Linked DNA regions of Schizosaccharomyces pombe. Changing the gene in region 2 together with the main gene of any one other region gives a genetic interaction. Each region holds a gene or a part of one and is shown on either strand. Other genes may lie near its edges.

The links. Genes that interact genetically often act in the same process or in processes that back each other up.
Region 1: of rad55 (region 2) and kms1, a mutation in one rescues a mutant of the other (synthetic rescue), as found in Schizosaccharomyces pombe (one study listed by BioGRID).

Annotation. Positions count from the first base shown.
Region 1 is NC_003424.3:3,461,013-3,465,957, reverse strand, and holds kms1 (protein Kms1), read right to left. Parts: upstream 3,061-4,945; 5' UTR 2,894-3,060; coding exon 2,831-2,893; exon of another isoform or gene 2,700-2,830; coding exon 2,260-2,699; exon of another isoform or gene 2,214-2,259; coding exon 893-2,213; 3' UTR 650-892; downstream 1-649. Other genes in the region: sei1 (seipin), read left to right, coding at 1-416, 514-649. UniProt on the Schizosaccharomyces pombe protein: Has a role in karyogamy, recombination and segregation during meiosis. Although it has been shown to associate with the spindle pole body it is unlikely to be involved in its formation or maintenance.
Region 2 is NC_003424.3:2,065,926-2,069,838, forward strand, and holds rad55 (DNA recombination mediator, RecA family ATPase Rad55/Rhp55), read right to left. Parts: upstream 1,990-3,913; 5' UTR 1,840-1,989; coding exon 1,824-1,839; intron 1,780-1,823; coding exon 743-1,779; 3' UTR 517-742; downstream 1-516. Other genes in the region: eisosome BAR domain-containing protein Pil2, read right to left, coding at 1-79; SPOM_SPAC3C7.04 (transcription factor), read left to right, coding at 2,839-3,913. UniProt on the Schizosaccharomyces pombe protein: Required for radiation resistance and meiotic viability and acts in recombination and recombinational DNA repair pathways.

The DNA.
Region 1 (4,945 bases), 1.4 Mb from region 2:
ATTGATCCTAGGTTACCTGGCACATCTTTGCTTCAAATCAAAATGCCGCATTCTCCTCGAAATAGTGCTATGGGCAATTTTATGGTTTCTGTCGATTTTCAAGATAGAAATCAAAGATCTCTGAAGCAGGTTAAACGAACAGTCTTGCTTCCTCATAGGTCTCCTATTCACGAATACCTTAAGCTAATTGTATGTTCACCTCTTTACTTCATGGGGATTTTGGAAGAAACAGATATTGTCAATGTCCGTTTGTTCGAATCTGAAACATTTGCTAAAAGTTTTAATTCAATTACAACACTTTCCGTTAGATTTTCTGTCAAAAATACTCCAGCTCAAGCTATTGTCAAAATTTATTCTAAAGATATTGAATTTTACGAAGCGACTCTAGCTTTTGCATCAAAATTGCACGGCATGCGGTAAGTTTTACTTTTTGATTTACCTTCTTCATTTTTTTTACTTTACTCAATTTCTTTACCTGTTATACTTTTTCACAAACTAACTTGTCCTTACTAGCTGGTTCATGTATACGCATAAGGTTTCCGCATTTCTCGTTTTCACATCTTTATTTTGGTTTACGGGGATAACCTCAACGATAATTACCTATCTTATTGTCTCTTCCACATCTGAAACAAAAGCAACAAGACGTTGAATCTTCTCACATCTTCACTTGCATCTAAAATCATAATCGTCACAACCATAAAAATACATTATTATTAAATTAGAAAGTTCCATTATTGCTTTATCCGTTAGACCCATTATTCAGCTGCACCTTTATGTACAAAAAGTTGAAAAAGGGTAAAGCAATTTAAATCAGCACTGATTTTTTTTTTAGAAAAAAAAAATCTTTCGCTAGCATCTTCATTTTCGTCATTATTTATTAGTCGCCTAATTATCAAGAAGGCTGTACCAGTTCATACCGTCCATAAAGGAGTATAATTATATGTTCGCAAAATGTAAATACAACACGCAAAAAAGCTTGCAATAGCTCGGCGCACAATATGTAATCAAGTCCGTAAAAACAGGCAAAAAGAAAAAGGACGTAAAAAAGTCGCAAAATGTTGGATTTCATAACCGATAAAAGAAGCAAAGGTTGTCCTTTCGTTGCTAGAAAATGGGGGTTGTCTGCATTAACAGTATCTTGAGACGCCATAAAATCTTTAGAGGAGTTATTCATTGTTGTATTAGTTGCCATGAGTCCTGTTTCATCGTCACTAAAGCTCGAAAGAACTGTGCATTCGTGGCTTGATTCTTCATATGTTGGCATAGAGGAATCGTACCGACGACAAAAGTCGTTTAGGGTTGGAGACATTTTGGAAAGGCTTTGAATAATCCATTTTTGGATACCAATTTCCTCTGAAAGCATCAAAAATCCAGCAACCAATTCTTTGTTTCGCGAACTTTCAGCAGTAAGAGAGCTTTGCAATGATTGACTTATGTGTTTGCATTCTTCTATCGTTTTCTTTTGTTGTTTACATTTAAATTCCAATTCTCTTAATTCTTCACTTTCCCGCATTCCAACCGCAGGAATAGAAATGCAAACTGATGGTTGAGTGAAAGAAAGGCCAACCTCTTTGGAGTAAACCATTTCGTCAAGGTTAGAGGGTGATAAAAATTCATCTCCTTTTGGGTTATTAGACAAAGCAATTAAATGTTTTTCTCTAGTAAGATCATCTATGTGGTTGTTTAGCTGATTATTAGAATTTTTTAATTCATGGTTCTCTAAAGCAAGCCGACGAATAGTATTCTCATTTTCACTTGACCGAGATGCAGCCAAGCTTAATTCCTCAATTTTCTTAGTCTGATCTGTAAACTTACGCAAGAGAGTGGCATACCGAACTTGCAAGGCTGAAAGCTCTTTTTTTGTGGAGTAGAGGCCAGAGTTTGTCTGTATGAGTTCTGACTGAATTTTCTGAAAGTTTTTGTGAATGTTTAGATTTTGAGCCTTAAGAGTCTTAATTTGGTTATTTTGCGAATTATTGGCTACCTTAGATTCATTATATTTGGAATCTGCCATATTTAGTTGGTGGGTAAGTTCATTCACTTTTCCTTCTAAAATATCTACAGTACGAGATTTCTTTCTAGCTTGATCTCGAGCTTTATCTAACATATCCTGGAGTTCTGTGATTTGCTTGATTAGATCATGGTGCCCGTTGGAAAAATCAGGTTTATCCTTCCTAACAAGTGGCATCTCAGTATTTCTGGACGACGTATTTCTTCTTGTTAGAATTTTAATGACTTTTCTAAAAAAAAAATTCTTACCTATTTAGTGGTGTAGATTGGGCAAATGGAGTTCGAAGAATATTGACAAAATCACTGTCGGTAAATTGAGACATCGGCGGCAAGGACAGTCTCTTAGACATCATTTGAGAAGGGTTTAAGGATTCAGGAGAGGCATTAGAAGATGATTTTGAATGTGCAGAATTGACAGAGTGTTCATTTGCATCCTCTTTGATAGAATTTTTGGAATTCTGTTGCTCCATCGAAGGCTTTTCAGCTTGATTCGCAAAAGAGTCATCTTCGTTTTCAGTAAGTTTTTTATATACGTCTCGAAAATTATCCTTTGTAATAGAGAGATCTGCATTTTGCCGTACGAATTCGAGTGTACATTGTTTTTGGAATTCGCTCAAAAGAGGTGGTGCAGAAGCGGGATGTAAGAGTTGTAGGTCATTGATGATTGGCAAAAAGTTGGAAAGATGAACCTAAGAAAATTTTTTGTTAATAGTTTATCCTATTGGTAATTGGGTAAAGCGAGAAAAACCAGAGTCTTGAGAGTTTGTCTCTGACTCAATAAACAAGATCTACCTGCATAAGCAATCAATTTTTTTCATACTTTTCCTTCATGTTTAAAGTCATATGAATCGAAAATCAAGTCAAAATCGCGTTCATTTAGCATTTTGGAAAGGGAACTGGCAATTATAATTATACAGGAAACGAACCACAATTCTAGTGGGAATGGGATTCAGTTTTGAATTTTTTTGTTAGAATTTATCATAAAGCTGCGTGCATTTCATAACAGTTCACGAATTCACCGCATTTCTTAAGTGTTGTGAGTTGGGTTTCGTGCAAGGTCTATCCAAGGGTTTGGCAGTAGGGCTGTTGAGCAAGTGGTTTGAGAGACCAAAAAGAAGTACACAGAAAAAGACGGATTAAAATAAAACTTGAAAATAGATAAAAAGATGTTAGAAGAAATCATGTTTATGCTTGATTTAAGAGCAGCTAGAAAAGTAAGGCCACAACTTGGTCGTACTGTGCATACTTAAGTGATAATTCAAATGAAATCGCAAATTAAAAAAAAAAAAAAAAAAAATTATTTTTAGTGAAGTAGAAACTATTCGTATTTGTTTTATAGATCGATCGATTCCTCTGAGAACTTCAAGCGAATTTGCAGTAATTTAGAACGCCAGCATTTATAATTGCGGGTCAAACAACGATCGCCCAAGAATCTTTCATAGACTCCAAATAAGATTGGTTGATTACTTAACTTATATTTTGATCCTTGAATCGTTTTAGTCAATCAACGTCGTATATATTGTACTTTTTAAAAAATACAAGGTTTTGATCGTAAAAAAAGAAATGCATAGAAAAGGTCAGATTTTTTCATCCAAGAATGTGCAATAAATACAGAAATTACTTCTTTTTCTTTCAATTTAGCCAACTCTTTCGAAAACGTCTTCTATTTACATTTTCTATATAGCTACTACTCAGTCAAAACAGTTGGTTAGCATGTTACTTTATGAGAAGCGAGCGATGTGACGTCAAAGGTTTTTTGGCGAAATTAACACTGTCCATATGTATATGTGTTTGAGCGTGTAAAACCTGGTTTCTGCCATTTACATATTTTGAAACCTCTGTACGCTAGTTTAGTTATTTCTCGTATCATTTTATTTTTAACTGGTGCAAGAGACAAGAAAATTCATTTACTTTCGTGAAGATTTGAAAAATTCGTTTGTCAGCTTAGAATTCTTTGCTAGCAGCATTATTTGTACATTTTCAATTGGACCTCTCTTAGCTTTCAAATTTTATTAAATCTTCTTTGTTTTCTTTCTCTTTTGTACGAAGTGATCATCGAAAAGATAGAGAACATCGGGGTTTCCATTTATGGGCGATAATGTATTTTTAGAGCCTGATCCATGGGCATCTAGCAGTAATTGGGGTTCACCAGTGAAGCCTTTAAATTATAAAACAGCAATTGGTTAGTAAAAGTTTTGTTCTTCTGTTTTTTCCTTCTCAATTAATAGTTAATTTTACGGATCGATGCATTCTATCATTGATTTGTTTCTTTAGCTTGATTTTTTTTTTTTTCATCTTTCTTGCTTTTTTACTTACTTACTGTAATGATGCTAACCTTTTTCTTTTTCTTTTTTTTGTCTATAGGTAATTCATCCATTCCTTTGCAATATCGAAATTATTGGGACGTGTTTCAAGCAAACAATGTTCTCTTATTTCCAGAAGAAGAAAGTTATTCTGATATATTTCATGTTCCTCAAGATGTAATGAAAGAGTTCTTTACCTTGATTGAATCATCAAGCAATCAACCCTTACGGCAAATTCAGTTTTTCGTTTTGCTTGCCTTGGTTGCCTGTTATCAATTAGGTGTTCCTAGCACATTGGAACAGATTTTCAAGCAAAGAAATGGTAAGGCTTTTTTTTATCTTTGCTTTTTTTTGTCTTTTTGCTTACTTCCTCCTCCTTAGTCCTGCCCATTTTGCAGCGTTTTAATCCGGAACTTTTCAATCGTAGTTCTGATAATGAAACCCCTCTTTTTCCTAATAATTCTCCTCCTGCTTCAACAACCGCCTTGAATCTTTCATCCAACATTGTCCCTTCCATTAATGAATCAAAAATTTTAGAACAAGAGGATGACGACGTCTCCAATAAATCCCTCCCTCACGCTCAGCAAAGCATCATCCGTTCGTTTCCTGATATTCAAAAGCAGCCGAAAGGA
Region 2 (3,913 bases):
TAGAGGGAGGAATTTGATTCTGTTTCGCTTTAGGAGGCGCGCGAAGCGTATGAATAGAGTAAGATGGTTGAGTGCCCATCATCTTGCTAATTACTTGATAAACGATTTAAGACTTTGAAAATATGTATATATAAAAAGAGAAAGGAAATACTAATAAAAAGGTTAGTATGTTAATTAGAGGTAGGTTGAAACAATGTTCATTAAAACATACTTAATCCGCCAACTCACACTAGACAAAGCGAAGTATAAATAAGGTCAGGCTCAAAATGGACTTATTAGACTACACTTTCGAAAGTAACAAAAGAGCTGTAAAGTTCAGGTAGATTTTTAGCGACTTGAACCCATGTTTTAAAGATTTGAGCTAGGCTTGAGACGTCACTATGTCAACATGGAATTTATATGTCGAAAGCATAATGTCATTATTGTCCGTACACTGAATGCGACACCTAAACAATTGAAAATTAATAAGGACTTGTCAATCAGCAAACATATAGATATCTTAATCATTTCCCTCCTCTATGACAATTAGCAATTTCATAAAAATGAACGAACAAAATAGCTTATGATACATTATGAAAAGATATGAGATCACAAATAAATCATTGAGAAACTTTTGACCAACACTCGACAAGTATTCATAGTTGTTTATGCAACGTAATGAATAGGTATAATAAATTAATAGATATGGGCAAAACAACCATCACTATGCTAAAAAATTCGTAACTGAAGCCACCATTTTTACCTAGGACTCACATTCCAAAATGGATCTCTTACGTCGTTGTGAGCTATTGGTAGGAATACTTTGATAATCCTGAATACCAGTAGATGTTAACTGAAAAGCCAACTCTGATTCTGCAGAATGAGCTGGTGGCTGCTTTGCCATGAATGCATAGCGCAGAAGCTGATGAGAGGGACGACTCTGTCCATCTTTTGATTCTTCAGTTGAATGCCTACTGTAAAGAATGAGCCGATAAGATAGATTATCTAACCAATTAGTGCTGAGAAGCGGTATCAACTTAGCACCTATCCCACTAACAACTTTTGAAGTCATCTGGGTGGTAACAAAGATAGCCACATAACAAGAGGATGTAATTTTGCTTAACAAAGAACTGATTGTACCGATTGCCTTTTTTCTGCGGTTTATTGTTGTTTTGGTAGAGGAGTTATGAAATGCAAAATTCGAGTCGTCTTTACTCGAGAACTCATTTTCTTTGTTTAACGTCAAAGTGTTTTCTTTTTGAGATGAATCTGAAAGGGAGCTTTTTTTGCTGGTATTACGACGAAGACGTAGATAAGCATAATCTTCTGGACTGGTTGGATATGCAAGTTGAATAGGCATTGATAGGTTGTCAATAATTAATAATCCAATTTCTTTAAGATGTTTTTCTTGATCGAAATTTCGTAAAAAAGCTAGAATATTCACTAAATTGGGTGCATATACAACATCGAGAAGATTTAATAACTCATCAGTATCGCATTTTTCCTCTTCATCTTGGGAAGAAGGGACGTGATTGTCTAATAGTTGACGAAGTCTCTCCATGGGAATTGGTTGACAAGTTTCGACCCAAATCACACGAGAACCGGAAAGAAGAGCGTTTGCAGTAATCTGTAAAGCCAAACTTGTTTTTCCCATCCCAGGTGCTCCACATACTTCAGAAATATACCCTCTTTTAAGACCACTTCCTCCAAACGCATCATCCAATAATTTTGAATTAAAGCCGAAACCTGGAGCAGAAAATGCTTCGTACGCACGAATAGCAGGTTGAGTCACTAGACGATCTAAAAAGTATTAGACACAGTTAGCTAGGCTGGAAGTCGCATACGTTGACTAGACAGCATTTATTTCAATGAAGGTTAAATCCAGCACAGTGCGACCTACTAGAATAACAGCGATACAGTTTATATTAAATTGATAACAGCATAAAAAGGATATAGGAAAATTTCCCTTTACATGAGAAACAACGATACGTTGTAAGGTTTGGAGGTGTTGGTAGAACGACAAAGGAAATCCTACGTGTTTTACTTTGCAATCATTTCATTAAATGTTGTTTCTTATAAGGAATAAATTATTTTAGTCTTAAGGTTAAGCAGATTAGAAGGTAACAAATTCGTAACCTTTATACATAATGGGAAATTTGACTAGGTAGGTCAACAGGAATGCAAGAGTAAGCTCAAGTTCATTTGAATCTATGATTCATTACTGCCTTTGACTTTGAACTTTAAACTTTGGGTTCATATAACGCAACATTTACATTTGTATTGAAACTCAAGAGGGTTTTAATCAAAATAGCTATTATTTTCGTACTACATTCCGTTTATGAAATAGCGTGTCGACCGATATGTGTGCAATTAGTTTACTATGTACACAATACTCATTTTATTGAAGAAATACTAAAATGGAAAATTATTAACAAAAATCGATTGCATGCCATGCTTCAATAAACGTATAAGCTCGTCAACGAAAAGAAATTGACGGAAGTTCCCATTTTCAAAGTACAATACAAGCAGTATTTATTTTTCAAAAATTTAAAATCGGTTAGATTTTTTCTTAAAGTTATGTATAAACAAGGTCTCATATACTAATAATATGTGTATATATTAGATTTCGTTGATAAAAAAGGTTCGTACCACTACACTAAATTACGCCCTCCAGTAGAACATAGGAGCTGGGGTACTACAATTTTTTCTTTTAGGCATTTACTAATCAAGTTCTGCCAAGTCATTGCCATAGTTAAGCATTTTCTCTTTTCAGAATTGAAATTCTGTAATATAGAAAAAGAATTTTAAATTTATGGAAATTGGTATGAACTTGGTATTTTACTAACATAAACGGGGAAAATGAGCCATGAATTTTCACCTGAAAATACGGCGGTTCTGTTCGAAGCCATGAAGCAGGAGCAGCATAATAGGAGACGTCGTGTTCCTATGGAGAGACGAAGAAGGGTGGTTCTAGCCTGCTTTAACTGCAAAGCCCGGAAAGTTCGTTGCGACGGGGCAAACCCATGCAAAGCTTGTGCTTCCAATAATTTGGAATGCACATATCCAGTAAAGGATGAAAAAGAAATGGATTATTCTAAGGACTACTTTATTGATCTTTCAAAAAGATACAAGTGTTTAGAATATATTGTTGAACGTCTTTGTTCCACCAAAGTTTCGACTTATACTACACCTTCATTGATTGAAGTTTGCAATCGTATAAGCAACCAAAAATCACTATTATCTTCAGATGTCTTTTCCCTCAATAGTGAAAGCACCAATAGTCAACGTGACGTGGATACCCTTACACAAGGTGCACTTGTTTGTTCACAAATTCAGCAAGATCCAACGGTCGTAGCAGAGGATACGAACAATGGAATCAATGCTGATGCTAGCGATCAAAGCGTTGACGAAATCATGAAATTAATTGGAAAAATAAAAGTTGACTCTAACGGCGAATCCCGTTATATAGGAGCTTCTGCTGGTGAAGCATTCGTTGACTCTGTTCAAAGTGAACTACTTGTCGATCCTTCTTTTTCCGAGCTGAGCGCGTATTCCCATACCCATCACAGTTATCCTCCGAATGAACATGATGTAAATGCTGTTCAAAAAGCGCTGAGTCTTCTCCCTCCTCCTGAAGTTTCAGATTTTCTTATCAAATCTTTCTATGGCCATGTTCAAGCAAATTTTTTCTTTTTCCATGAAACATTACTTCGTTATCGTTTAAACCTTATCATGAGCTTCCAAAATCCATCCGTTGACCCTGGCTTTCTTTGCTTGCTAATGATGATCTTTGCACTTGGTAGTATGTTTGCTCACATGGAAATTCGTTCTGCTAGCAATCCTTTTGACAACCCAGGAAAACAGTTTTTTGATACTGCTAGGCTTTTGTTACCACAAGTAATTCAGCAATGCAAACCAAGCTTGGTTCAGGCTT